4 linked regions of the Saccharomyces cerevisiae S288C genome follow. Changing the gene in region 4 together with the main gene of any one other region gives a genetic interaction. Each region holds a gene or a part of one and is shown on either strand. Other genes may lie near its edges.

The links.
Region 1: mutations in LEA1 (region 4) and MUD2 together harm fitness more than expected from each alone (negative genetic interaction), as found in Saccharomyces cerevisiae (5 studies listed by BioGRID).
Region 2: mutations in LEA1 (region 4) and SNU66 together harm fitness more than expected from each alone (negative genetic interaction), as found in Saccharomyces cerevisiae (4 studies listed by BioGRID, with this or other methods).
Region 3: mutations in LEA1 (region 4) and BRE1 impair growth when combined (synthetic growth defect), as found in Saccharomyces cerevisiae (6 studies listed by BioGRID, with this or other methods).

What each region holds. Positions count from the first base shown.
Region 1 is NC_001143.9:289,682-297,980, forward strand, and holds MUD2 (Mud2p), read right to left. Parts: upstream 6,513-8,299; coding exon 4,929-6,512; downstream 1-4,928. Other genes in the region: DHR2 (RNA helicase), read left to right, coding at 1-1,371; PSG1 (Psg1p), read left to right, coding at 1,772-2,950; AAN1 (Aan1p), read right to left, coding at 3,275-4,627; Hsp70 family chaperone LHS1, read left to right, coding at 6,749-8,299. UniProt on the Saccharomyces cerevisiae protein: Splicing factor that contacts pre-mRNA directly and is a component of the pre-mRNA-U1 snRNP complex (commitment complex 2) that forms during early spliceosome assembly in yeast extracts.
Region 2 is NC_001147.6:889,874-898,488, reverse strand, and holds SNU66 (U4/U6-U5 snRNP complex subunit SNU66), read left to right. Parts: upstream 1-2,101; coding exon 2,102-3,865; downstream 3,866-8,615. Other genes in the region: RNA-processing protein NOP58, read left to right, coding at 129-1,664; SLY41 (Sly41p), read left to right, coding at 4,397-5,758; MCH5 (riboflavin transporter), read left to right, coding at 7,057-8,615. UniProt on the Saccharomyces cerevisiae protein: Component of the U4/U6.U5 tri-snRNP particle, one of the building blocks of the spliceosome. Required for pre-mRNA splicing.
Region 3 is NC_001136.10:320,950-329,498, reverse strand, and holds BRE1 (E3 ubiquitin-protein ligase BRE1), read left to right. Parts: upstream 1-3,349; coding exon 3,350-5,452; downstream 5,453-8,549. Other genes in the region: AHK1 (Ahk1p), read right to left, coding at 1-2,886; 60S ribosomal protein eL31 RPL31A, read right to left, coding at 6,511-6,795, 7,217-7,273; RXT3 (Rxt3p), read left to right, coding at 7,947-8,549. UniProt on the Saccharomyces cerevisiae protein: E3 ubiquitin-protein ligase that mediates monoubiquitination of histone H2B to form H2BK123ub1 in association with the E2 enzyme RAD6/UBC2.
Region 4 is NC_001148.4:148,781-153,397, forward strand, and holds LEA1 (U2 snRNP complex subunit LEA1), read left to right. Parts: upstream 1-1,833; coding exon 1,834-2,550; downstream 2,551-4,617. Other genes in the region: THI6 (bifunctional hydroxyethylthiazole kinase/thiamine-phosphate diphosphorylase), read right to left, coding at 1-1,411; pseudouridine synthase PUS1, read right to left, coding at 2,735-4,369. UniProt on the Saccharomyces cerevisiae protein: Involved in pre-mRNA splicing. Associates to U2 snRNA in a MSL1 dependent manner and is required for normal accumulation of U2 snRNA. Required for the spliceosome assembly and the efficient addition of U2 snRNP onto the pre-mRNA.

The sequences.
Region 1 (8,299 bases), on a different chromosome or scaffold from region 4:
ATCAGGTGTTGTATACAAATAAACCAAGGTGAAGAACTGGGAGATATCTTATGTTTTTTACCGGGCCAAGAAGAGATTGACAAAGCAGTGACTATAATGGAGAAAATTGCAAAGTATGTTTCAGATGAGGCCCCAGTACCATTAATAGTTCCTTATCCTTTATATGCAGCTCTTCCCGCGGTCCAACAGTCCTTGGTCTTCGCTCCGATAAAGGGTTTCAAGAGAAAAGTCGTCTTTAGTACCAATATTGCAGAAACATCTGTTACCATATCCGGTGTTAAATTTGTCGTTGATTCTGGTCTTCGAAAAGTCAAAGTTTGGAGACATCAGCTGGGATTAGCCACTCTACTTACCGTACCCATTTCTCAGGCAAGTGCGATGCAGAGAAGTGGTCGTGCTGGTAGAGAAAGTGAAGGAAAGAGTTTCAGGCTTTATTGTGAGTCTGATTATGTGAAATTACCTAAACAAAGTGAACCTGAAATAGCCAGAAGTGACGTCACATCTCCTGTGTTAATGTTGAAGAGATATGGTGTTGATGACCTGCTAAACTGGACCTGGTTTGAGAACCCTGGAAAGGAAGCTATAGTAATGGGGCTTCAGGAACTTTATGAATTGGGTGCTCTTGACACTCGTGGAAAGATAACTAAACGGGGTCAACAAATGGCTCTGTTACCGCTACAACCGCATTTAAGTAGTGTCTTAATTAAAGCCAGTGAAGTCGGATGTTTGAGTCAGGTCATTGATATCGTCTCTTGCCTTAGTGTGGAAAATTTACTGTTGAATCCGTCACCAGAAGAAAGAGATGAGGTGAACGAGCGTCGTTTGTCCTTATGCAACGCTGGTAAAAGGTATGGTGACCTTATCATGCTGAAAGAGCTTTTTGATATCTATTTCTACGAACTAGGGAAAAGTCAAGATGCAAGCTCTGAAAGAAATGATTGGTGTAAAGGATTGTGTATTTCGATACGTGGGTTTAAAAATGTAATTCGTGTCAGAGACCAGTTAAGAGTTTATTGTAAGCGTTTGTTTTCTTCAATCAGTGAAGAGGATGAAGAATCCAAAAAGATTGGTGAAGATGGCGAGCTAATTTCGAAAATTTTAAAGTGTTTCTTAACTGGGTTTATCAAGAATACAGCTATAGGGATGCCAGACAGGTCTTATAGAACTGTTTCCACTGGAGAGCCGATAAGCATTCATCCATCATCTATGCTATTTATGAATAAAAGCTGCCCCGGTATAATGTACACGGAGTATGTCTTTACTACGAAGGGATATGCCAGAAATGTTAGTAGGATTGAACTTTCATGGTTACAAGAAGTTGTCACTAATGCAGCCGCTGTAGCAAAGCAAAAAGTTTCTGATTCAAAATAAGTCACCTACTCTTAGCGCATTTTTATTGTATATAAAGGCATTTAATGTAATTTATAGAGCATTATAAATCGTAACAACTACTGCAGTATGAGTTTCATGGATTCATTTCTCAATATCTTATGAATATACACAGGTATATATGTATATTCATGTTAAACGCCTTTCGAATTGTTCGTTGGCTTTTTTTGTGAAATTATCTCGGGAAAAGGGCGAAATTATATTATTTTGCCGTTGACATTTTGAAAAGGAATAAAAGATCATGAAAAAAATAAGAAAGGCAATTCGACGCATTTCTCTCAGCAAGCTATTCTTTACTTTTGAAGAACAAAATATTTTAGCAAAAAGGTTAAGACAATATAGTCGGAAGCAGTTCTGCGGGATCTGAAGGAATTGCGGAATAATGAGATTTCACGATAGTATACTTATCTTCTTTTCTTTGGCATCGCTTTATCAACATGTTCATGGTGCAAGACAAGTCGTTCGTCCAAAGGAGAAAATGACTACTTCAGAAGAAGTTAAACCTTGGTTACGTACGGTTTATGGAAGTCAAAAAGAATTAGTCACTCCTACGGTCATTGCCGGTGTCACTTTTTCTGAAAAACCAGAAGAAACACCAAATCCATTGAAACCTTGGGTATCTTTAGAGCATGATGGTAGGCCAAAAACCATTAAACCAGAAATCAACAAAGGTCGAACCAAGAAGGGAAGACCTGATTACTCAACTTACTTCAAAACGGTAAGTTCCCACACATATTCTTATGAAGAATTGAAGGCTCACAATATGGGCCCTAATGAAGTTTTTGTAGAAGAAGAGTATATTGATGAAGATGACACCTACGTCTCCCTGAATCCTATTGTCAGATGTACTCCTAATCTTTACTTCAATAAAGGTCTAGCAAAGGATATCCGCAGTGAGCCATTTTGTACCCCTTATGAGAATTCTAGATGGAAGGTTGACAAGACTTACTTCGTTACTTGGTATACAAGATTTTTTACAGATGAGAATTCCGGTAAAGTTGCTGATAAGGTTCGTGTTCATTTGTCCTATGTTAAAGAAAACCCCGTAGAGAAGGGCAATTATAAAAGAGATATCCCTGCAACTTTTTTCTCTTCCGAATGGATTGATAATGACAACGGTCTAATGCCGGTTGAGGTCAGAGATGAATGGCTGCAGGACCAATTTGATCGTAGGATCGTTGTATCAGTTCAGCCAATATACATATCAGATGAAGATTTCGATCCACTACAATACGGTATTTTATTATACATCACTAAGGGTTCAAAAGTGTTTAAGCCTACTAAGGAGCAACTGGCTTTAGACGATGCAGGTATAACAAATGATCAGTGGTATTATGTTGCATTATCTATCCCTACTGTCGTGGTGGTATTTTTCGTCTTCATGTACTTTTTCTTATATGTCAACGGGAAAAACAGAGATTTCACAGATGTTACTAGAAAAGCTTTAAACAAGAAACGCCGTGTTTTGGGTAAGTTCTCGGAGATGAAGAAATTCAAAAACATGAAAAATCACAAGTACACCGAATTGCCATCTTATAAGAAAACCAGTAAACAAAATTAGATTCCCTTCGAAGTATGCATTCACCCTTCCTCGAGAGGGCTGTTTTTATCTTCCGTCACACTAATAGAAAACCACTCTATCCAGTTTTTTTTGTTACTTAACTTATCTTAACTCGATATTGTATAAATACTGAAGTCCATATACTTCTTTTTTTCTCCTTTGGATAGTAAATACGGTAAATTAAAATTAGTGTAAACTGAACAATATTAACATATATAAATCATCTGTACGACAATTTGATACCAAATAAATAGAGAATGCATCAGCATCCTCCAGGGTTCAAAAGAAAACGCTGGATCTTGCTTCTTTTCCTTTGATTTCTCCTTATATCCATTTCTGTCTTGCAGCAACTTCACATATTTTTTCCAGTGTAATGACCCTTGGATCAGGCTTAAAATGACGCTCAACCACATTATCATCTCCTTCCACATTCCTGCTAAGTAAGCTTTCTTCGTCGCCCTCGCTATTGTCCACATTATCTTCATCTTCATCATCATCTCCGCCGACGTCTTCAATGTAGTAGAAAAAGGGTTCCAACACCAACATAATTTTCCAGAAGTTGTTCGTGCCACAATTAGCAAACAAGACATCTACAAGGGCAGGTAGGTATTCCAATTCAATGTACTCCTCTGCGCAACAAACAAATTCATCTAATTCGTAATCTTGCTCATCAGCAGATAATGTAGAATACATTTCTGATAACAACGTTAATTCTTTGCTAATTGTTTTTGGAATATCTTCTCGAGCTTGCCATAACAGCTTTTGCGCTCTTTCCAGTCTTTCTTGGCTAACGGCATCATCCTTGCTCTCTTTTTCGCCTTTATCACCTTGGACATTTTCGGAGTCTTGTAGAGAAGGCAAGAATCCGTTCTTTTCGCTTTTGACCATAAGCTCATTGTATTCGTTATAGAGGGAGATAATTTTCATCATAGGCTTGTATAATTGCTGACAGACTTTCATTTCCGAGTAAGGTACAATGACTTTTTCCAAATAGTGATTGATCAGTCCTTCCATGAAGTTTGCCCAAATTGACGAAAATACATAATCCTCGTCGTAAGTCGATTCCGTAAAATCTTGGTTGATGTTATGCTGTATGATTTGCTCTGTAAGAGTTGGGAAAAGGTTTTTATGGCTTTTGACCATTTCATCTCTCAAAGCAGTAGATCCAGCGCTATCTGCTCCTTTAGTAGAATTTTCCAAACTATTATCTGTTGAAGACGCCTCTGAGTTCTTTTCACCATCTGTCTTATCTAGCCAGTATTCCGGACCACCCTTTTCAGACAATGTCACCAATAAAAGGAAGAGTTTTACTTTAACCCACGGGTTTAGCGAGTTTACATAGGCGTCCGTAATTTTGCTAACATCGATATTTATTTTTCTATGGATGCATTTGATAAATTTTTCAATGTAATGTGATTTTTTCAATCCGTATTTTTCATTCAGATATCCAACCGAAGTGATTACGTCGTAATTTGTATTTTCCATGTTCGTATGCTTCAAAAAGTTGAATGTTAACTTTCGTCTATTTCCATAATGTCTTTCTCTTTTCTCCTCACCTTTCTTCTTTCTTCTAATCTTTTTTTCTTTTGAAGCACCCAATTTAAGACATCTTTTACAGGTACAGTCCTTTAACGATGGCTCGTTGGCCGCTTGCTTGGGCAATAAATCTTTAGCCATCTTCTTTGGCGCGCTATACTAGGCTTGATTTATAATGTTAGTTATTCCAAAAATGTGAAGGAAATTGATCAAGGCAAGCTCTAATGATGATTATTGACCCATGCAACAAAAAAAGTTTGAATTCTCTTAATTTTCCAGATCGCAAGTTAGTAGTCAATCTGCTAACTTTCGTTATATTTCAAAAAAGTAATTGTACAAAAAAAGTCACCAAAAACGAGGACTTTTTTCACTGCGTTAAAGATTAGATCTACATAATGAATACTCAATTCTTTACTTAATTTCGCTCTACAAAATAGACCATTTAGGAAAGTTGGGTTGCTTCCATCATGTCAAAGTCGTCCTCATCTATATAAGTACACAGAACAGTGCGATCGTTGAATTGCGTACCCGGCAATTCTTCCATTGCGTGTTTTGCTGCCTCCAAGGTCTTGAACTTGATATAAATATTACCGGCTCCGGAAGCCAAGTTTTCAAAATTAAGTCTGTAATCGACGCCGGGTTGGCATATTTTAATCGTATCTGCTCCCGCGATACTATACTTTAATGTTTCTTTAATTTCTGTGATAAAGGTTTCATCTTTCAAATCCAATGGATCAAGACAATTTAAGAGCAACAAAACTCTCGATTCAACACGAACAGATTGGGTAACCAGATTTGGCAGGCTTTGAAACGTAATCCATGAAGTAACTTGTGATATCTTTCCATCATTTGGCTTGAACCATTTGTATGGTTTTAATTTATCAAGAATATCCTGAGTGACGACTTCAAACGATAATAGAATACATTTAGTGAATTCGGATTCTTTGCCAGTGTTGTTTGTATTGGACGAACATTTGTAAAAAAGTGGCTTAGCGGTACCGTTTGTTACATTCAATGACGAAAAAAGCTCTTTCATTCTATAATCTTCACCCTCGCCTATATTTTCCAAATTTTCCAATGCAATTACCGTACCCCTGCAAAAATCGACCAGATGATCAAGTTGTTGAACATAATCATTAGGTCTTCTCCATTTTAAGTCGAAAGTACCAAGCTTCGCATTAAAGAATGATCGACAGGCCAAAACCATAGTGCTACAGATCTGAGAACTAAACTCAACAATAATATGGTCCGGCCTTCCTTCACCAATATAAAAGTTGGAAATTTTAAAGTCCTCCGCATTACTCTCAGTTTTCTGGAGACCTGAAATAAAATTTTCCAGCAAATCTTTCAATCTTGCTACAATGCTGGGGTCGCTGCTTTGAGACAAGCCCGAAATTACAAGCCTTGAATTTGCCTTGGATGAGGCCATGTTGTAGTAAGCCGGAGAATCGAATGATGAACCCGGGTACATTACATTTTGGGAATTATAGTTCATGTCATATTTATTAGTTTGCAACTGCCTTTTATCACGGTCGCCATTGAATTTAGAACCTTCGTTCTTCCTTTGGTAATTGAAACGATCGTAGTTTCCGTTTCCATTTCTTCCCCTTCTATCGAACCTTTCATTTCTTCCTCTTCTTTCATCCCGTTGCCTATTATAGGGATTGTTGTTCCATTGGGGCCCAGTATTGTGACTACTATACCGATTCTCCCTGTTATATGATCTTCCCGATGCATCCCGATAACTTTGACGATGAGGACCTGCCCTTGTTTGTTCATAAGTCGTTCGATTCGTGCTCATAGTAATTATTGACGATGGTCCTCTGTTATTAGAATGTGAAACGTTTCTACTTTTTGGCGCTTTCGGAAGCTCACCGTCACTTTTTTGCCTCTTAAAATGTGTATCTATAACTGCATTATCCGTGTTGAATCTTTTGTTCTCAATCGGCACAACATCCTTTTCTGATTTTCCTATAGACTCCATTATTTTGGATCTCAAATCCTCCAGTCTCTTTTCATCAGCCATCTCCGTGTGCTTGTTTTCTGTGTCAATTAACTTTCCTTTTCTACTTCTTTTATATTAGCATGTACAGTTTAATTTCTCATCTCGAATTTTTTCAGCACTTGCTAATTAGGCGCGCGCCTCAAATATATAATATCGAACACGCTGTTATAAAAGTGATCCATTCTACAGCGTAATATTAACAGTATCGCTCCTGCAGTATTCTGGCATTATTAGTGCAAATAAGTACGCATATTACCATGCGAAACGTTTTAAGGCTTTTATTTTTAACAGCTTTTGTTGCTATAGGGTCTTTAGCAGCCGTTTTAGGTGTTGATTACGGTCAGCAAAATATCAAGGCCATTGTGGTTTCTCCGCAAGCCCCATTAGAACTTGTGCTCACACCAGAGGCAAAACGGAAGGAGATATCTGGTCTTTCGATAAAAAGATTACCAGGTTATGGAAAGGATGATCCGAATGGGATTGAAAGAATCTACGGTTCCGCTGTTGGCAGTTTAGCAACAAGGTTTCCCCAAAACACATTGTTGCATTTGAAACCGCTACTTGGGAAATCACTAGAAGATGAAACCACTGTAACTTTGTATTCAAAACAACACCCCGGTTTAGAAATGGTATCAACAAATAGAAGTACCATAGCCTTTTTAGTTGATAATGTGGAATATCCATTGGAAGAGTTAGTGGCAATGAATGTCCAAGAGATTGCCAATAGAGCCAATTCACTGTTGAAGGATAGAGATGCAAGAACTGAGGACTTTGTAAACAAGATGAGTTTTACAATTCCTGACTTTTTTGACCAACATCAAAGGAAAGCACTTTTAGATGCCAGTTCAATAACCACAGGAATCGAAGAGACATATCTGGTTAGTGAAGGGATGTCTGTTGCAGTTAACTTTGTATTAAAGCAGCGCCAATTTCCACCAGGTGAACAGCAGCATTATATCGTATATGACATGGGGAGCGGTTCTATTAAGGCCTCAATGTTCTCTATATTGCAGCCGGAGGACACTACTCAGCCCGTTACAATAGAATTTGAAGGATATGGGTATAATCCACATCTAGGTGGTGCAAAGTTTACAATGGATATTGGCAGTTTGATAGAGAATAAGTTTTTGGAAACACACCCAGCCATAAGAACTGATGAATTGCACGCTAATCCCAAGGCCTTAGCAAAAATCAACCAAGCAGCAGAGAAGGCAAAGTTAATTTTAAGCGCCAATTCTGAGGCAAGTATTAACATAGAATCACTGATCAACGATATTGATTTCCGTACTTCTATAACTAGACAGGAATTCGAAGAATTTATTGCAGACTCGTTATTGGACATTGTCAAACCCATAAATGACGCTGTTACAAAACAATTCGGTGGCTATGGAACAAATTTACCTGAGATAAATGGGGTCATTTTGGCGGGAGGCTCTTCCCGAATTCCCATTGTGCAGGATCAATTAATCAAACTCGTATCCGAAGAAAAAGTGTTGAGAAATGTCAATGCTGATGAATCAGCTGTGAATGGTGTTGTTATGAGAGGGATCAAGTTATCTAATTCGTTTAAGACCAAGCCGTTAAATGTTGTTGACCGTTCTGTAAATACTTATTCATTCAAATTATCAAACGAATCTGAACTGTATGATGTGTTCACGCGCGGAAGTGCTTATCCAAACAAAACATCTATTTTGACAAACACGACTGATTCGATTCCTAATAATTTTACCATTGACTTATTTGAGAATGGTAAATTGTTCGAAACTATCACAGTTAATTCAGGAGCTATAAAGAATTCATATTCCTCT
Region 2 (8,615 bases), on a different chromosome or scaffold from region 4:
TTCAACCTCATCGAAAATTTTCAGAAAAGCAAGAATTATTTATGCTTTCGCAAAAATTTCGCATATAAGTTATTTTTGAAATAGCAGTCGATACCAAATTAGCTGTAGAACCTCAACCTCCTCATACAATGGCTTACGTTTTAACTGAAACTTCAGCTGGTTATGCTCTTTTAAAAGCTTCCGATAAGAAAATCTACAAATCTTCAAGCTTAATTCAAGACTTGGATAGCTCTGACAAAGTCTTGAAGGAATTCAAGATCGCCGCCTTTTCCAAGTTCAACTCTGCAGCTAACGCTTTAGAGGAAGCCAACTCCATTATTGAAGGTAAAGTTTCTTCCCAATTAGAAAAACTTCTGGAAGAAATTAAAAAGGACAAGAAGTCGACCTTGATTGTTAGTGAAACTAAACTGGCAAACGCTATTAATAAGTTGGGATTGAACTTCAATGTTGTTTCCGATGCTGTAACCTTAGATATCTATAGAGCTATCAAAGAATATTTGCCAGAATTGCTGCCAGGTATGTCTGATAATGATCTAAGCAAGATGTCTTTGGGTTTAGCTCATTCCATCGGTCGTCACAAATTAAAATTTTCTGCTGACAAAGTTGATGTTATGATTATTCAAGCAATTGCTTTATTGGATGATTTAGATAAAGAATTAAACACATATGCCATGAGATGTAAAGAATGGTACGGGTGGCACTTTCCTGAGTTAGCTAAGATTGTTACTGATTCCGTCGCTTATGCGAGAATTATTCTAACAATGGGTATCAGATCCAAGGCTTCTGAAACAGATTTGAGTGAAATCTTACCAGAAGAGATTGAAGAACGTGTCAAAACCGCTGCTGAAGTGTCTATGGGTACTGAAATCACTCAAACCGATCTAGACAACATTAATGCTTTAGCTGAACAAATAGTCGAATTTGCCGCTTACAGAGAACAGTTGTCCAATTACTTGTCTGCAAGAATGAAGGCTATTGCTCCAAACTTGACTCAGTTGGTTGGTGAATTAGTTGGTGCTAGACTTATCGCTCATTCAGGTTCCTTAATTTCCTTGGCCAAATCACCAGCTTCTACCATCCAAATATTAGGTGCCGAAAAGGCTTTATTCAGAGCTTTAAAGACCAAGCATGATACACCAAAGTATGGTTTGCTATATCATGCCTCTCTTGTTGGTCAAGCTACTGGTAAGAACAAAGGTAAGATTGCAAGAGTTCTGGCTGCTAAGGCCGCTGTCTCATTGCGTTATGATGCTTTAGCTGAAGATAGAGACGATTCAGGTGACATTGGTCTAGAATCAAGAGCCAAAGTAGAAAATAGATTATCCCAATTAGAAGGTAGAGATTTAAGAACTACTCCAAAGGTTGTTCGTGAGGCTAAGAAGGTGGAAATGACTGAAGCTAGGGCCTACAATGCAGATGCTGATACCGCAAAGGCTGCTTCTGATTCTGAATCCGATTCTGATGATGAAGAGGAAGAAAAGAAAGAAAAGAAAGAAAAGAAGAGAAAGAGAGACGATGATGAAGATTCCAAGGATTCTAAAAAAGCTAAGAAGGAAAAGAAGGACAAGAAGGAAAAGAAGGAAAAGAAGGAAAAGAAGGAGAAGAAAGAGAAGAAAGAGAAGAAGGAAAAGAAGTCCAAGAAAGAGAAGAAAGAGAAGAAATAAGGATGCATTTTACATTTTAATAATTAGTGACCCCTCGCGTTCCCTTTTATTTGGATTTAGAAAATTTTCTATAATTATCCAATGCTTAACCTATTTCTCATTTCATATTTTATTCCATAATCTGTAAATTAGTGCTGTACGCCCATATTGAATTGAACTTATTATTTTTTTTAGGTGATATATTTGAAATAGTATACATAATTTATGTTTACATAGTTTTAGGTACTTTATATCATTAAAAGTTTTGTTTAACCTTTAAAAAATTTGTACCATTAGCAGTTATAGGTATTCATATCGTGAACTGCGCAACTTAAAATTATTCGCGGGACGAAAAAGATATACAAAATTTTTGAAAGTGAGCAAAGGATGAGATGGTGCAATCGTTACTATTTGATATTAATAAAAAGGCAATCATCACATCAACCCTTAATTAATTTATGAACAAAACGGAAAACCTTTCTATTGAGGAGACAAATGAAATAAGGGAAAAGCTGGGTATGAAACCTATTCCAGTTTTTCAAGAAAAGAATACAGACCATAAAGAGTCTTTGTCAATCGAAGAGACGAATGAGTTGAGGGCGTCCCTTGGCCTAAAACTTATCCCACCCCAACAAAATTTCAATTCTTCTCCCCCTAATGTACATAACACATCCAAAATCGATGAACTTCGAGAGAAGATAACAAAGTTTCAAAAAAAGGCGAACGCTCCTTTACGAATGGCGCACCTTCTCGAAGAAACTAATGTAAATGACGACAGTTCATGGCTAGAAAACATGGATGCAATTCCTTCCTCACATGAATCCAAACGTTCCAGCACATTGCCAAGAAAAGGCGCCACGAAGGAAGACGAAAATATTGATCTGCATAATGTTCAAGTATCATATAATATCGAGGCGCTTAGCCCAAAGAAAGATACGATTCTAACTTTGAAAGAGAGCAGTATTTTTGATGATACTGATTCTACCGAAGTGTTAGAGAATGTGAAAGCTGCCGAGGAAAACGCTGATAGAGAGAAACTACGATTACGACAAATGAATAAAGATAGAAGACAAAAAAAAAAAATTTTAAATGTATCTAGCTTAGATATTGAAGAAGAAGAAGAAGGAGAGAAACACTCAATTACAACTACACATCTAATCATCGGAGCAGAACAGGGTGTTATGAAGGCACCGAATACTATATCAGCAAAACCACCAACGGGAAAAGTTAAAGTGAATTTCGATAGCGCAAATAATATGTCAGATGAAGATGGTGGAGACTTTAAACCTTTAAAAATTAAAAAACGTAAGATCAAGGACCCAAGATCTACTAAAGCTAGGAAGTCAAAAATTACTGATAAGATGGAAATTGTTAAGTTAGTAGATGAAGATGAAAGTTTATCCTGGATGGAAGAAGAACAGCCAGTCACCATAATAAATCCCAGAACAAGCTCAAACAATGAATTGAAAGGGCCAGAGGACCTCGCTAGAGAAATTGAAAAGGCAAGAGACGAAGAGAAGCGACGCACTGAAAGCATTTTGAAAATGCGTGAAATTTCCAACAGTATTGTCGTCGACGAAAAGGTAACTTTTTTAAATACTTTGGATACCAGTCTCTCCGAACGAAGTGCTACTGAGAATAAAGTGAAAGTGCATGGTGAAGGAGAGAAAAATATCGGAGATGTTACCAATGGACATACTAAGGAAGGGAGTGGAAACAATACACTGACTGAAGCAGTTAATAATGAACCAAACTACGAGGGAGATGCTGAAAATGCACCGAACTTTTTTTCTGGTCTTGCATCAACACTAGGATATCTTCGGAAAAAGAGTGTTTTCACCACAGGAGACGTCGATTTGAAACCAGGAAAGGATGTTAATAATAGTGAATCACTTCGAAGGGATGTCCGAAATAAAGAGCATACGGGCACTGGCACTTATACAAAAGATAAGCTACACGGACTGGAACAATTCACATCTAGTGACTCTTCCAATGCAAATACTCATTCAAAAAGACAAGATCATTATGATCCTGACATAAAACTGGTTTACAGAGACGAAAAGGGAAATCGACTGACTACTAAGGAGGCATATAAAAAACTGTCACAGAAATTTCATGGTACAAAAAGCAACAAGAAAAAGAGAGCAAAAATGAAATCCAGAATTGAAGCAAGGAAAAATACCCCTGAAAATGGTAGTTTGTTTGAATTTGATGACAATTAACCTAATCAGCAAATTCTACTAGCCCCAGCTTTTAATATTCAATATCTTGTTTTTCTCAAGTTTGAAACCTGTGTATAATTGTATTTGGTGTATAAGGCTACGTGGTGGCCTTGAATTCGGAAGTACTTTTCAAACATTAATATTCTGTGATATACATTTGTAAAGACCTTTTGCGTTGTGCCTGAATCTCAAGCCATTGTGTCATTTCACAGCGAAGTGTCATTGTTTTAAGCGATAGAAGCTTGGCGCAACGATCGGATAAAAAAAATTGAAAAAAAAAAAAAATTGAAATGAAAATAAAAACAATCAGATATTCAAAAAATTGAATATCTGTATTCATAAAGAGGAGAAAAAAGAATAAAGAAAAAAAAGAAAAGAACATTAGACTACACGTGCAGCATATACCAACTATTTTTATTATATGCTTATATATGCAAAGCTTACGATATTTAGAGAGTAAGTGGATTGACGATAAAAGTGTTTAATAAGGAGCCATTCGTTTTTATAAAGGAGAAACAATACCGGCCTAACATGATTCAAACGCAAAGTACAGCGATCAAACGACGTAATTCTGTTCATAAAAACCTCTTTGATCCATCACTGTATCAAATACCAGAACCACCACGTGGGGGGTTCCAACACCAAAAAAAAGAATACAGTAAGGAGACATTCAGTAATCAAGTCTTTGGATATGATATTACTAGCCTTAAAAAAAGATTCACGCAACTATTTCCTAGTAATATACAAGGGTACTTACCTGAAGTTGACCTAAGAATAACCATTATTTGTTCTATATGGTACGTCACGTCATCTATTTCAAGTAACCTATCTAAAGCCATTTTAAGAACTTTCAACCATCCCATAGCTCTCACAGAATTGCAATTTCTTGTTAGTGCTGTTCTATGTGTTGGATTTGCTTCCATCGTAAATTTATTCCGACTACCTCGTTTGAAGCATACGAAGTTTTCAAAGGCACTCAATAGTTTCCCTGACGGTATCCTTCCTGAATATCTCGATGGCAATTTCAGGAGTTCTATCCTGCACAAGTTTTTAGTTCCCTCAAAGCTGGTTTTGATGACCACTTTCCCTATGGGAATATTCCAATTTATTGGTCATATCACATCGCACAAGGCGGTATCTATGATACCAGTATCACTAGTGCATTCCGTGAAGGCATTATCCCCAATAATAACAGTTGGCTACTATAAATTTTTCGAACATCGTTATTACAATTCCATGACTTATTATACCTTGTTACTTTTAATTTTTGGCGTTATGACTACTTGCTGGTCAACACATGGCAGTAAGAGGGCTTCAGATAACAAAAGCGGATCTTCATTAATCGGGTTGCTTTTTGCCTTTATTTCCATGATAATATTTGTAGCACAGAATATTTTTGCAAAGAATATTTTAACCATCAGAAGGAAGGTAGGAATACTGCCGTCTTCTTCTACGGATGACGTCACGTCGAAGGAAGGGCAACCGAGTCTAGACAAAACAAGATTTTCTCCATTGCAAGTGGATAAGATTACCATATTGTTCTACTGCTCCTGCATTGGGTTTTCTTTAACCCTATTACCTTTTTTAACCGGCGAATTAATGCATGGCGGTAGCGTTATCAACGATTTAACGCTAGAAACAGTAGCCCTTGTAGCGATTCATGGAATAGCCCATTTTTTCCAAGCAATGCTTGCTTTCCAGTTGATCGGTTTACTATCTTCCATTAATTATTCGGTAGCAAACATCATGAAGAGGATTGTTGTTATATCCGTGGCACTCTTTTGGGAAACAAAGTTAAATTTTTTTCAGGTGTTTGGTGTTATCTTGACAATTGCCGGATTGTACGGTTATGACAAATGGGGGCTTTCCAAAAAAGATGGACGTCAGGCATAATATGAAGTAATACTATTGAGTACAAACCATCATTCAAGGTAGGACACTTAGTACTATATCAAATATATAATCAAAAAAAAAACCCTCGAAGGTCTTTTTTATCTTATTTACTGCTACTACCTCTGTTGCTAGCATTACTTCAAGATCCTAAACTGTTACCCCACCCCCGCACCATATCAAGGTTAAAAATCCGATGTGGCGGTACTTATTTGGTTATTTATCTCATTTACATTAATATGCGTACGGGAATGGCCTTCCGCTCCGTGGAGGATAAAGTGCGGTCATTTTATTATTTTTCGAAAACAATGGCTACAATCCCTTGATTATCTCACATGCGATTACAAAGCAAAAGAGAAGATTCGCATGCAGGAGCCATACACGCGTCTTTTTTAAGGTATTTCCACGATCTCGCGGAAAAACTTATAGAACGAACAACTATTGCTTTAACTAGGAAAGAATAAGAAAAAATAGCGATCATACTAGAACCCACAGTCGAGGCACAAGGATTTTGAGGATTGCTCTACCCCTAATGCCTATTGCTTCGATTGCTGAAAGCGGATCTACTCCTTTTTCCAAGTACTCGAAAGGTTGAGAGAAATAAAAATAGACTAGTCGACGGACAATGCCAATAAAGTTTGGTTATACGAACTGCTTTAACCAAATTAATATTGGACAGACTCCGTGTTTTTTGGTTTTGCCCTTTTTTCCCGCTAGAACGACATTGTGTTTCTCCAAAATTATTCCATCTTTTCCCTCGTGTTAACAATAGAGTCACAACGCACCTGTTATTATGATCTCGGGGGTGGCTTCCCGAACATCGTCGGTTGAATACTGCGCTTTGGCGTCCGAAAAAGAAAAGATAGGAAAGGATCGAATTTTTGACATTTTTCTCAACCTGCTGCGCGCTGTTCTATAGACGTTTGAGGCACCTGAAAAAGAAATACAGCGGAATAATTACTGTTCTGCTGAATCGCCCTAGGCGGTATTGTATGAGGCTAATAATAGAGAGACATCTCTGAAAAGAAACTAGAGGAAAATTTTTCAAAAATATCTATTTTGCTCAGAGAAATGAATATAATAAAGAAGCTATTTGGTTAGATCTCCCAGTAGTTACGGGGACTAGATATATAAACTGCTTGATGTACGTTTGGAAATTCTCAAATAGCAATTCTCTCTTCAAAGTTAGTGAAGGATAGGTTATATCTGTAAAAACATACTAAGATCTGAATAACTAAGATCACGGGGGCATACTATCGATTAAAAAGCTCTGATTTTACTATAGATTAAAAAGAAAAATAATGAGCTCAGACAGTTTAACGCCTAAAGACACTATAGTTCCAGAAGAACAAACCAACCAACTGCGGCAACCTGATTTAGATGAGGATAGCATACATTATGATCCAGAAGCTGATGATTTAGAGTCATTAGAGACTACTGCCTCTTACGCGTCAACGTCGGTGTCGGCAAAGGTGTATACCAAGAAGGAAGTAAATAAAGGAACTGACATTGAAAGCCAACCACATTGGGGTGAAAATACCTCGAGCACGCACGACAGTGACAAAGAAGAAGATTCCAATGAAGAAATTGAAAGCTTCCCGGAGGGTGGATTCAAGGCTTGGGTTGTGACATTTGGTTGCTTCTTGGGTCTAATTGCATGCTTTGGTTTATTAAACTCAACGGGGGTCATAGAAAGTCATCTACAGGACAATCAATTATCCAGTGAAAGTGTTTCTACCATTGGTTGGCTGTTTTCTTTGTTTCTTTTTGTTTGCTCTGCCTCATGTATCATTAGTGGTACTTACTTTGATAGAAATGGATTTAGGACAATTATGATTGTGGGCACGGTTTTTCATGTAGCCGGTCTGTTCGCTACCGCCAACTCTACTAAATATTGGCACTTCATACTGTCCTTTGCCATTGTCTGCGGGTTCGGTAATGGTATTGTACTGAGTCCCCTAGTAAGTGTTCCCGCCCACTATTTTTTTAAGAGACGTGGTACTGCATTGGCAATGGCCACTATTGGTGGTAGTGTGGGTGGCGTCGTTTTCCCAATTATGTTGCGTAGTTTCTTCTCTATGAAGTCAGACACTGATCCAACTTATGGATTTGTTTGGGGCATTAGAACTTTAGGATTTTTAGATTTGGCTTTGCTAACTCTGTCAATCATTTTAGTCAAAGAGAGGTTACCACATGTTATCGAAAATTCCAAAGATGGTGAGTCACGTTGGAGATACATACTCAGAGTTTATATTCTGCAATGTTTTGATGCGAAGGCTTTCCTGGATATGAAATATCTTTTTTGTGTCCTGGGAACGGTATTTAGTGAGTTATCCATTAATTCAGCTCTTACTTATTATGGATCATACGCCACCAGCCATGGAATTTCTGCTAATGACGCCTACACCTTGATTATGATTATAAATGTCTGCGGCATACCCGGGAGATGGGTTCCTGGCTATTTGAGCGATAAGTTCGGTAGGTTTAACGTCGCAATTGCAACTCTACTCACTCTATTTATCGTCATGTTTGTTGGTTGGTTACCATTTGGTACCAATTTGACAAATATGTACGTTATTAGTGCCCTATATGGATTTTGTTCTGGAAGCGTTTTCTCCTTACTTCCTGTTTGCTGTGGCCAGATATCTAAAACGGAAGAGTTCGGTAAACGTTACTCTACAATGTACTTCGTTGTCGGTTTCGGTACTTTAGTCGGCATTCCGATAACAGGTGCCATTATCTCTATCAAGACAACGGCCGATTACCAACACTATATTATTTTTTGCGGTTTGGCAACTTTTGTAAGCGCTGTTTGCTACATAATTTCGAGAGCATACTGTGTTGGCTTCAAGTGGGTCAG
Region 3 (8,549 bases), on a different chromosome or scaffold from region 4:
ATGCTCTAATCGATTGGAAAACTCAAAATATTCTCTTACTGTAGCATTGAACGTCTCAATTAAAACACAGATTTTTTGTATCCTTGTTCTCAACTTCATATCTTGGATCTGCTTCCAAATTGTCACCTCCCGCCCCCCAGTAACTTTCAAATCTTCCACATTCTGATTACCAATTTTGGCTACATCTTGCTCATCTTCCATACATTTGCCAAAAATATTAAAATCAGGCACCGGTATCTCAAAATCTAGACCATTACCGCATAAGGTAGCTAAGTTTCTCGTCTCACTTTCGTTCTTAGCAACACTCGCAACCAAATCTTTCGGGACGGGTAAAGGCTTCATGTACTTACTGCCTCCGTGGATTGTCCCCCATTTCATGTTCGCCAAATCTATTTTTTCGACGACTCTTCTATTGGTTTGAATAAATACCAGTTTGAATATTGTAGCAATACTATTGTGTTCCTTGATTTCATTAGAAAATCTCAACTCTGGTGGACCTATCAATATATTCTCCCTCCTATTGAGCTTGATACTTGAATTATATGATACCATTGATCCTGAATTGTTACCATGCTTAAAAATTTTTTCAATATTACTAGATGACTGCTTCGGCAAAATTTCTGCAAAATCAGCCACATCTTCATCATATTCAAAATCGTTGCCTAATTCATTTGCCTGTTCCTTCTTCTTCTGTGAATCTTCAGAAGTACTTGAAAATTTTGAAAGCCAAGTGTTCAGTGTTGCCGATAAAGAACTATTACCTTCCTTTCTCTTATTTTTATGCGAGCCACTATCTTCTGAGTCTTCATCATTATCTTCGTTTTCCTGACCTCCTTCGTAGCCATCCATAATTTTGTGATTTTTTTTGGGATTTAGTCGGGTCTTCTTTTCTGCAAGAAGAAAGGCAGCTTTACTTGTCATTTCGTCCAAAATATCATAAGCGTATTTACCATTTTTCAAGATAACGTTAGGTCTTGTATTTGCCACTGAGCTGACAGAGGGAAATCTTTCTGTAGTTAAATTTTTATCATGATTAATCTTATAAACTAAGTGGTCCTCTGTATTTGGTTTTTTTGGAATCATCATCAAACGTGAGTTACCATTAAAAACGAGAGCATTCTTTCTATGCGCCACTATATCATTTGAATCGTGTTTTTGCATCTCAAATAACTCCTCCTTGTTTACCAGTAGCTCTTCATATAGTTGTTTAATTCTATCATGTGGCAAGAATCGTAATGAAGAAGAATTTTGAACACTTGGAATGATTTTAAAAACTAATACCTTCATAAATAAAATTCTAATCAAAGGAAATTCGTTTTCAAAAATCAATGACTCCCAAAAATCACTTAACAGCACTTTTACTATTTCATCGCGGTCCTCAATGGTTACGTGCTTCCAAATATTGAAAAGGCATAATAAAGAAACAGTCTGGCAGTTAACATTTTTGGTCCTTAACATACTCAAAAGCCCATTGTACCACGACCTCCATTGAATGAATTTCAGAGAAGGTAAACTTTCAAACTGGAAAATAATAAACTGGAGAACCTTATTGTAAATGACGTTCGCTGCAATATAATCGTACGCTGAAATAGTGGAGACATAGTCTATCAATAGAGACTCATGTAAGGAAAGCATATTTTCCAGGTATTCCGGATGATTTTCTTTAAGAATGCATCCTGAAAGGCTTCTAAGACATTCCCATAATTTGATTGTCTTAAAATTAGAAAATACGTAATCATTAATCCTTTCAGATGTAATTAAAGCATTGCTACTATTCAAACTCTTGAAATTTGGATGTGACTCTGTCACATTCTCATTTGCTATCCTTGGATTCGGCGTTTGTTTAATAATCCGCGTGAATTTATTCAAATCTGAATTCAAGAATCTAGTGGTTACATGCGTCAATAAAATTTCTGAGCCAGGTATGCATGACAATGTCGATTTTTTAATTCCTACATCTGAATCAGAGAATTTCATAAATTGAAGTATGATATACCAATAGTGCCAATAAAATGACATAAGTACAAAATCATTTTTAATATAAGAAACAATGATCTTAAAAAATTTAGTATCTTTATTTTCAAAAGCTTCAGTGCGGATCATTTGTCCCTGATCGTCGGTGAATTTATATTGTCTCTTCTTCCATGAAAACAAAGATGTTTGAATACTTGAAGAGATTTGAGGAGAAACTGTCAATAACAAAATTGTATCGAAATGAAAGTCTTCTGGTAGATAAAAAAATGCGTAAGCATTTAACTTCCCGATGAATGCTCGCAGCAAGGAAGAATATTTGTTAAGGTATTGCAGCTTCTTGTCGTTTATAGAGCACTTGTCATCACTATTTGTACGTTTAAGTTTTTTGGAGTTTTTAGAAATCAAAATCAACTTGTTTGTTATGCAATGAATGGTCAGCAAAAGATGATGTGAGTATATTTCCATGTCTCTGGATGAATGGAAAGGCAATATTATTAGTATGGTCATAATTTTGCTGAGGCACTCGAGACACACGGAAGTTAGTTCTATGCTCAAGCTCAATTCAAGGGCAGTATCTATTTGAAGCGAGGTGTCAGAATTTAGAAAGTTTAAAAGTGTGACCCACCATTGGGTCAAAACATCTCTAACCTCCAGTGTACAGTTGCTTCGTGAAGAATCACACCATTGTCTTAGAACCGTTAGTAGTTTCAAGCGTAAAAAATTTGAGGAGGATTTGCAAAATTTTGTATTTTGTTCTTTATTACTAGCTGACTGATTAGCATTGTTTATGAAATTGATAAACCTGTTCAACGATTGAAATAATTGAGTTTCATAATTGTCCATCAAGAAGCCATCTTGAGACGTAGTCTTTAATCCACATTCATATAGTTGATTATGTATGGCAGGACCCATGCTTAATGAGCAATATGATCTTTAGTGCTACAACAATGCGTATATAGCATACGAAGCACAATCGAGTTCAGAATTGTTTCTCTACCCACGAAAGATAATATTGGGAAAATCACTGGTGAAATTCTGAGATCGTTAATTTCAGTGGATTCAAAAAGAAAGAGCAGATCGACAATAGGCACTAAGGATGTCTTCTAACTTTGAAATGAAGCACCAACTGATCGTACTTTGATCAAACCATCGTTATTATATAAAAGTGACAAAAGCATTTGATCACGTGATTATAATCACATCCAACGAAACTTTCTTAAAGAAGGCGAAAAAACAAAAAAGAAGAAGATTAAAAAAAGTTGGATGGATGTTGTTTGAACGGTAAACTAACAGAGAGCGCCCCAAGGTTTTTAACAGAGATAGAAAGGGCTTTCACCGTTTTTATGCTAATCGTGCTAGCTGATAATAATCAGATATGACGGCCGAGCCTGCTACTAAGAAGATCAAGCTAGAATTAAGCGATCCTAGTGAACCGCTTACTCAATCTGATGTGATAGCGTTTCAAAAAGAAGCTTTGTTTAGATGTATAAATCGTCGAAGAGTCGACTTTGAAGCCTTGCGAAAGCAATATGAACTTTCAAGAAGGGAGTGCATAGATGTTTCCCGCAAGTTGGCAAATATTATGGCGCTGATAGTAACTTTAGCTAGGTTTATCGAAACATTCTGCACAGACGCCAACGAGAAGCAACTATGTAGGGAAATAGCCCAAGGCGATGAGACGTTGATAGTTCAGCGCAGTGATTCTTTCATGAAGCTACTGACTAAATATGGGAAGCCAAACACGACAGATAGTAATACTAATAGTAATGCTTCGGATCATATTCAAGAATTAACAACGGAGTTAAAAAACTTGCGGAAAAGTAAAGAGGAGCTCTTTTATGAAAATTCGCAATTGACAGAGGAGATTTCTGCTTTGAAGGAATATTATACAAATATAATTCGCAAGTATGATAGAGATGAATCCTTTACTATAAAACGTGTTTTTAAGGAAGATAAGACTGATGCTGTAAAGGAATTACGGGAAGATGAAAAAGAATCTAATGAAAACAATATAAAATCTGGAAATAAAGACTCCTCTGCAATTAATGGTGATAATACATCCAAAAAATCCGAGAAAGGTGATGAACTTGTGCAGGCGGAGGATGAACGAAAAGAAGATGCTGAGAATGAAAAATTAGAATTGGATCTGAAATTTTCTGATTTACGGGCAGAGATAAACTCCTTGAGTTCCACTATAAAAGACCTTGAAAATATCAGAAGGGAAAACGAGGAAGAGCTCATCAAAACACGTTCTGAGGTATCCAATTTAAAAAAGCAACAGATAGCAGCAGCAGACCAAGACCCAGATTTCAAGTCATATGACCATGAGTCCCTGTTAGCAAAAATTCAACATTTGACTGAACAAAACGCAGAATTATCTGAGATCAATAGTTCCTTTTTATCAAAATTTCAAGTTTTAGCCAAAGAGAAAGAAATATATACGAAGAAGGTCCGAGAAGAATTCCAGAAAAGTCTCGACTCCCTAGTAGAAATGAACAGTTCATTGGAAAAGGACGTTGTAAGAATAAGAACGGCTCGTGATGATTTACTAAGCAAAATCGCCATTTTGGAAGCTGAAAAATCCAAGACTGAAGTGTTGAGCGATTTACAACATGCAATTGATATTTTGAAGGAGCAATGGACAAAAATTGATCAAAGATCAAACGATACAAAATCCTCGTCGACTCAAGATGCATTAATAAAGGAAATTCAAGACTTAGAGAAGGGTTTTAGAGAGTTATCCGACTTAACTCATAAAAAGTACTCTGAGATTATTAATCACGAATCTGTTATATCCAAGCTTACCGTAGAAAAAACTAAGGCTGATCAGAAATATTTTGCCGCGATGAGGTCCAAAGATTCAATTTTAATTGAAATCAAAACTCTTTCTAAAAGCCTCAGTAAATCAAATGAGCTTATTCTACAGTTAAAGGACTCTGATAGATTGCTACAGCAAAAAATAGGAAATTTACATAAACAACTGGATCTTTCTCAAAATAATGAACGCAGGTTAATTGATTCCAGTAAAACAGAGACACTAAAAATAATTGATTTAAATAATACATCCACTAAACTGAAAAGGTCATTAGAAAAGCTACAAGAAGAAAGTAACAAAAGCATTGCAGATATGACGCATCTAGAAACTAAATTAAATGATACAGAAATAGAATTGAAGCACTTCAAGCAGAAGGCATCTCATCTAGAATCCAAGTGTGAAAAACTACATGATACATTGTTCCGTGGTAACAACAAAAATAAGGGCTCGAGCGATGAAGCACTCGTAGAAGAACTAGCAAATTTCCGTACACTTGTTTATTGTTCCCTGTGTTCTAAAAATTGGAAAAACATGGCTATTAAAACCTGTGGCCATGTCTTTTGTGAGAATTGCTGTAAGGAACGATTGGCAGCGAGAATGAGAAAATGCCCTACATGCAACAAAGCATTCAGTTCCAATGATTTATTGACAGTGCACTTGTAATACTAATTATTCTACCACTTTTCCACTGTTTGTGTTATATCCTCCACATACATATACATATAATATATGTAAATCTAGTTTTGTCATTGCTTTTATTTTATTTGCGTACATCCTAGCCTAACTTCTGAATCAAAGAGTGACGTCTACTGTCGCATGTTTCCAAAGAAAAACTCTAATTGTACATATCATGCTGATAATTCCTACAAGCCCTAAAGATTCATATAATACTTTGGGCGGCCGGGTGAGAGAACGCCCGCGACCTGAAAAATTTTCTGTGATTTTTTATTATGACCTTAATCGCGCTTGTTCAAGATATATTTTCATCACAAATGTCCATACATATATATATATATATATATATATATATATCAACATTTGTAACATAACTCTTCTACTGCAGTCCTTGGGGGGAACAAGGATAATAGCAGAATCATATCAACTGGAAAGGACAAGAATAGATTTATAAACGGGTGATAAGATTAATGGTATAGTGAGTTCACTCTGCCGATAGTTCTTGTCATTTCTTTAGCTTCTTGCTGCTCTATGTTTTGCTGAAAGCGAATGAATTATGGACTTTTAATGATGAAGATTTTAATTTTCCGTTGGTCTATTAAGAACAGAAGTACTTCAAAACTACTTTTTAAGACCATCCTTTTACAGTATTTTTTCAATATTGTAAAACTTCTCATTTACTTTGTGTCTTTATGATCTCATCGTTCTGGTGGACCATAATCAGACGCACGGTATACTTCGTTTCTGTTGGAGAATATTGGGAGTCTTTTAATGTGATGAGTGGCCAACATAACCTTATAGTCATAGTTACACTGATTTATCCATTTTTATCGCCTTCACTTATACGTAGACTTGCATCTTTTAAATAATTCGAAGGTAACCCTTTGTACAAGCGTAGCAGATGATATCATTGATAAAAATTGATCTGAGTGCCCCGCTTCAATGAATACAGAAGTCTTGGCTTGAGTACAAGAGATTTATACAAATCGAAAATGTTTACTTTATATTTATTAATATAAAATGAGTATTATTTTTATTTAATTGATTTAAGCATCTTCTTCGACAACAACAGTTTGTAGACCCTTGGCAGAAGCAACTAAGACAGGTTCAACGTAGGAGAACAATGGGTTCTTGGCGTCTTCTTCTTCGTTTCTCTTTCTGGAAATTCTCAATCTTAATCTGTATTCAACACCCTTGACACCTCTCTTCCAGATAGCTTGGTTCAATTCTGGAGCTAGACGGACATCATCAGTACCCATGTGTAACTTGGCGAACTTCTTAATTTCCTTGACAGCTCTTGGAGCTCTCTTCTTGAAGGAGACACCGTGCAACTATTAAAAATAAAATGGTAAATTTTTTGTTAGTAACGATTGTTCATTTTAATATTAGTGTAATCTTGATGAATGGTTTTGTATATTGGAGACCCAATTTGTTCTGATTCATATTTAGTCAAACTTGGGATATGGATAATTGTCGACTTAAAATCTAGGATTCCACTATTTAAGATAACTATTTCTGTCTTCATCGCTCTTTAAGTCCAGCCGAAGTGTATCTTTCCCCTCTTGGATGTTATAATATTGATTATGGTCTTCAAATTCCGTATTATAAAATATATCTTGATCAATGATCTTTGTTGATAGGTTTCTGTGGTACAAATTCTTGATATTGTATTCCTTGACTATAGAAATATCTTCTTAATTAACCATTCAGATGACAAGCCCTTGGGCATTATATTTTTATTCTTTCACATACTCTTTTGTGCAAGTTAATGGTGTATTCACGAGTGACAACGTCTTTCAAACCGGCCATTTTTCCTTTGATTGAGTTCTGTTTGCTTATTAATTCTTTCTTTAAAACTTGAATGAAATTATCACTAGTTATAAAATCTTCAATATAATTCAATACTATCTTTCAAGCTATGAGATTCAACCCGCCTAATGCGAGCATGAGTAAAGTCAAGCTATGTCTGCCTGCGCAGTTGGGAGAACGAAAATGCCAGAAAGAAAAGCCGCAAACCTGAACGGAGCTTTCCCATCCTCCGCCTGCGCAAGAATGATCCACCATCGAGAGAAAGCCTTTCTGGGCTCTCCCACTTCCTTCCGTTGCAAAACTGTCGCCTAGCGTTTCAAAACTGTCCACGAAGGCAGATTGTCCAAAAAAAAAAGCACCACAAATCATTTCTCAATTTCAGAATACAAAGGTATGGGGGTAAAAATAAAGATTGGTGTACGGAGGTAAAGGTATGAAAATATTGTGAATAATGGAAAAAGGGCCCAGAAGGGGAGAGGTTCGGGAAAACAAAATATAGTATCAGCACTTCATGAATGTAGAACACAAGAATAAGCATCTCCATTCCGGCATCAAGTGCTATAGAATTCCATGACAGCGTTTTGACAAATAACGGTATTTTAGTACGAAGGTAAGGGAAAATTTACTCGCAGTTTTTTTTTTGAGAGAAGTAACAATACAATATAAGATAAAAATGTCGGTAAGCGAACAAGATCCTAATAGGGCGTACAGAGAGACTCAATCCCAGATATATAAACTACAGGAAACACTACTAAATTCGGCGAGAACAAAAAATAAGCAAGAGGAGGGACAAGAAAGCAACACCCATTCTTTTCCAGAGCAGTATATGCATTACCAAAACGGCAGAAATTCGGCCTACGACCTGCCTAATGTAAGTTCACAGTCGGTTCTTGCTTTCACTGAGAAACACTATCCAAACAAGTTAAAAAACTTGGGTACACTTTATTACAATCGTTTCAAAGAAGGGTCTTTTGATGAAGACTCCACAAGTTACTCAGACAGGCACAGTTTTCCATACAACCTTTATGACAACACTCTTCCACCACCGTTCCTTCCAGCTATCGGTATTCAAAATATCAATAATATTGCAACGCTAAAAATAACATATGAAGATATTCAGGCAAGTTTCAATAATATAGAATCTCCTAGAAAGAGAAATAATGAGATATGGGGATGTGATATCTATTCTGATGACTCAGACCCAATACTAGTTTTAAGACATTGCGGGTTCAAAATTGGAGCGCCTTCTGGTGGCTCATTTCACAAATTGAGAAGA
Region 4 (4,617 bases):
TTGTAGAACCAAGTGAACATCCACTTGCAGTGATGTCACCCATGATAGGAATTGGGCCATCTTCAATTATTACACATGGAAGATCTTCAGCGGTTATTCCTTCTGTTCCTGATGAAAGTTTGTATTCGCCTCCAAAAGTACCATCAGCAACGCAATCAAACTCACCCGTGCAAACAGCAACAGTCCTGTATTGGAATGCCACAATTTGTGTAGCGCGCACAAGTGTGTCGATGTTCGTTTTGCCGCTGCTAGAGTCGACGCCCTTCATTTTATGGTTATTTAACTTGGCTAGAGACAGTATTTCACTGCAATTGCCCTTTATACAAGCAAATTGGCCGTAAGTGAGCAAAGTGTTGTTTAGACAGAGCCTTGTTTCAGTGGCGCTGTACCCGACCGGGTCAAAGGTGATGGGTCTATTTACTTCATTATAAGCATTAATTGCGGCTTTTAGCATTTCAATAGGTGCCACTGATCCGGTATTTAACAGTAAAGAAGCATTTGGGATTCTTGCTAGTTCAGATACTTCACTTTCAATTTCAGACATGATAGGAGATGAGCCTAAAGCTAGAGTGACATTGGCACCAAAATTTTGATGAACCTTATTGGTGATATGTTGCACTAATGGACGATTGTTTGATACTTGAGATATAACGTTTTGAATTGAAGTTGTGGTCGGAAATGTATTATTTAACTCGCACTCAACAAATTGGTATCTGGTAGCATCTAACAAGCCTCTCAACCTCTTGGTTGCTGCACATGCATCTGGAGCGGCCATAATATCGCTGACTAGAGAGATACCATCCAACGATCTCTTTCCATTTGAAGCAACACATTGACAAAGCACACGTTGAATATTGTCAGGATGAAGACCACCAATACCAACGGTTCTACACCATGTAGCTTTAAATTCCTCCAAAGCATCCAAAATGGCAATGGCGCCTTGAGGACCCATGGGTGATTTCTTAGGATTTTTCTTTGTTGATGTAGGGAAAAGAGTACCAACACCAATATAATCTACCATATCTGGCCCCCATTTAGCCAATGTCTCTACCTCCGAAGGTTTACCAACACTCCATCCAAGAATTTTAGAAGGGCCCAAAAGTTTTCTTACCATTGGGATTGGCATATCGTCCTGGCCCACATGAACCCCATCGGCGTCAATTGCCATAGCGACGTCTATACGGTCATTGATAATAAGTGGAACATTGTACTTCTTACATATTTTTTGAACTTCTAAAGCCTCTGCAACGAAATTTTTTGTTTCAATATCCTTTTCACGGATTTGAACTAGCGTTACACCATTTTTCAACCCAGCTTCAACCTGAGAACATAAAGTAGTTCCCGGTGGAAGCATGGTAGAATCTGTAACCAGATATAATGAGTAATCAACTTCTTCCTTAGTAAATACCATTTCCGCTGTTTGATTTAAATAATTTAGCTTCAGAGTGATTTGGTCTTGAGAACCATGGTTAGATCGAAAACTAGGCGCTTCCACAAGTAAATGGATGCGTTGCCGCTATAAATATATGTAGTATTGATTTTGTTACACCTGCTAAATAGGTTCTTACGATTGCCTTTTTCCTATAATATGCATAAATTATGTTGCCCTAAAAGAGTGAAATAAACCTTATCTATCTTTTTTTTGTTCCTGGTTTTCAAAGTTGATTTTCGACAGACCCTAGTTAATTATAGGAAAAAGCCCTATTAGTCTTTTTCTTATCATAGATGACATTTACTTATATTAGGCCAATCGCATACTCTGCATCCAACAAGCCTTCAACAGGTCGAAGTGAAACTACAGGACTTGGAAAATATCAGTTTTTATAAGCAATAATGAAGTTCACCCCTAGCATAGTTATTGATGCTCCGCAATATTATGTTGATCATTTTAATGGCAAGTATAACGTGGATAAATGTGTTATTTTAAGAGACCTGCAGCTAGAAACGGATTCAGAATCCATGCCATCCAGCTTAAAGCATTTGACCAAACCTACGCACATCTTGGATTTGACAAACAATGACCTTATCATGATTCCAGATCTATCAAGAAGAGACGATATACATACATTACTGTTGGGCCGAAACAATATCGTTGAAGTAGACGGTCGCCTATTGCCTATGAATGTACAGAACCTTACATTATCGAATAACAGCATAAGAAGGTTTGAAGATCTTCAAAGGTTGCGTAGAGCGCCCAGGACGTTGAAGAATCTAACTTTAATAGGGAATCAAGTATGTCATTTAGCCAATTATAGAGAACATGTACTTCGATTAGTACCGCATTTAGAGACTTTAGACTTTCAAAACGTAACAGCTGAGGAAAGAAAGAGCGCAATGAGCTTTCCAAGGCAGGCGGACGGCGATACGTTGGGCCCAGTAAATACTGCAATAAGAGATAATGGATCCAGAGATAAAACGATGGAGATCATGAATTTGGTGGTGAGTAAGATGACAGTAGAGAGAAGAAATGAATTGAAAAAGCAGTTAGCAGAAGCTACTTCTTTAGAAGAGATTGCCAGGCTGGAAAAACTACTCTCTGGTGGTGTTTAATCTTTTGGTTAGTGCGACTGTTCAATGACTTAAAAAAAAAGAATTATAAATTATTCTGTGCCATTATATAATAATATATAAAACGAAAACAAATAATGGTGCTCTATAAACATTAGAGGACAATGTCAATTTCAATGTCAATGCCTTAGAAATTAAAGTTGGTAAGAAAGAAGGAAAGGGCAACCTAATTAGCTGCCGCTTCCGGTTGTACTTCAGGTTCGTTGCTCTGAGTGGTGCTGGATATTTCAGCCTTTTTACTAGCAGCTTCCTCCTCTTCCATTCTTTTTCTTTGCTTAATCTTCTTATTGCTCTCGGGCGCATCAGTAAGACCTGGGATACCCTTAGCTGTCAAGAATTCGAAGATACTCTTTTGCACAGCAGGTCCCGATTTATCGGCAGTTTCTTCTCCCTGTGCTCCAGTAACCTTGTTGAAACTATCAATATAACTAAAGAACGCATTAAAAACATTTTCGTCCACCTCTTCCTTGTAGATCTTATCGTAGATATGCTTCATTTTGAACTTATCCACTTCGTCTTGATATTTGGAAAAATCGATCGCCTTGTAACCAAACTGTTCTAGTCTTTTATTATAACCTTCAAATACTGGAGCTTCTAACAATAATCCTAATGCAGGTGCCTTCGGAATATTAATCTTCTGCTGTCCGTAAGCCTGACTAATGCGTTCGACGGGGCAACCACAACGGGTAATTAAGGTTGCCATTGATACCATCTTACGAATTTGATGTAGCATGAAAGACTGGCCGTGAATCTTGATGGAAATCCATTCTGTTTGGGCATCGCCAATAACAAATGGATCAGATACTTTTATATCTTTCATAAATCGAATGGCACTTGGTTCTTTGAAGTCCTTGCCTAATGTAAAATTATGGAAGTTATGAGCGCCAAGGTATTGACTTGTAGAAGCACGGAATTTGGCCAGTTTTGCCGCGGATATACGATATCTTCTACGGTGAGCATTTTCTAATTGCTTGTACTTTTTTACCTTCTGGTATAGTTCTTCATTTATATCAAATTCATCTCTTGCGGGCGGAACATATGCTAATATAGCTTCGATTTCTTCTGTTGAAAATTTTTCATTCGCATCTTTTTTAAACTCTTCCCAAAATTCTTTGGATTCCAAATCTTCATCTAATACACCAGGTAATTCTGTTTTACTTTCTTCGATGTCTCTATAAAGTATAGAACCAGGTTTGGGGCCAATGAGTGAATAAGTTGGTAATAAGTATTCGTACCAACGTGAACTGCACATTTTTCTACAATCAAACGCCTTGTTCACACGCTCGATATCCCATACCCTTATCCCTTCCGGTAACTTTTCGTTGATCTTCTGCTTGATATCAGGATCTTCAATAATCATTTTCAATGATATTAAATTACCTCCAGCATGGACACCCTTATCAGTTCTTGCAGCTCTCATGAATCCATTCTTTTTCAAATCGTTGGAGTTGTCCTTGGAAATAGCACCTGCTTCAACAAATGCTTTGAATAGGGCAGACTCGATGGTTGGATTTGGTGGATTATATTGCATACCATGGTAGCCAGTACCACAGTAACCAACCATAACAGCCACCTTTCTCTTTGGGAGACGAGGCTCCTTGGGAAGTGGATTGCCATTTTCATCCAAACGAGGACCGCTTTTTGGTCTTTTATCTATGTGTTTGTCATTATCCTTTTTTTTGTCCTTTTCATCGTCGAAGTCTGCCTTACGAGCTTTGGTCAATTTGCTCTGAGCGCCTCTCTTGTAGACATCCTCATTAACTTGATCGTCATAGGCAGGCCTCAAATTCTCTTCAGACATCCTTGATATCACTTATAATTGTTATTTACTAGCACTTTATTGTCCTTTATTATTTTTTTAGTACTTCTTGTATTTCAAATTTCTCGAACTATAGCGATGACTAAAAGTGAAAAATTTCAAAGCCAAAAGAAAAAAAAAAAAAGAAAATATTATTTCAGCGGCTAATAGTTACCCGCATCAAAATAATATATCTCTGTACGGTAATGAAAATTTTTGAAATATGCGATGAGCTTAGAACTAAAGTAAGC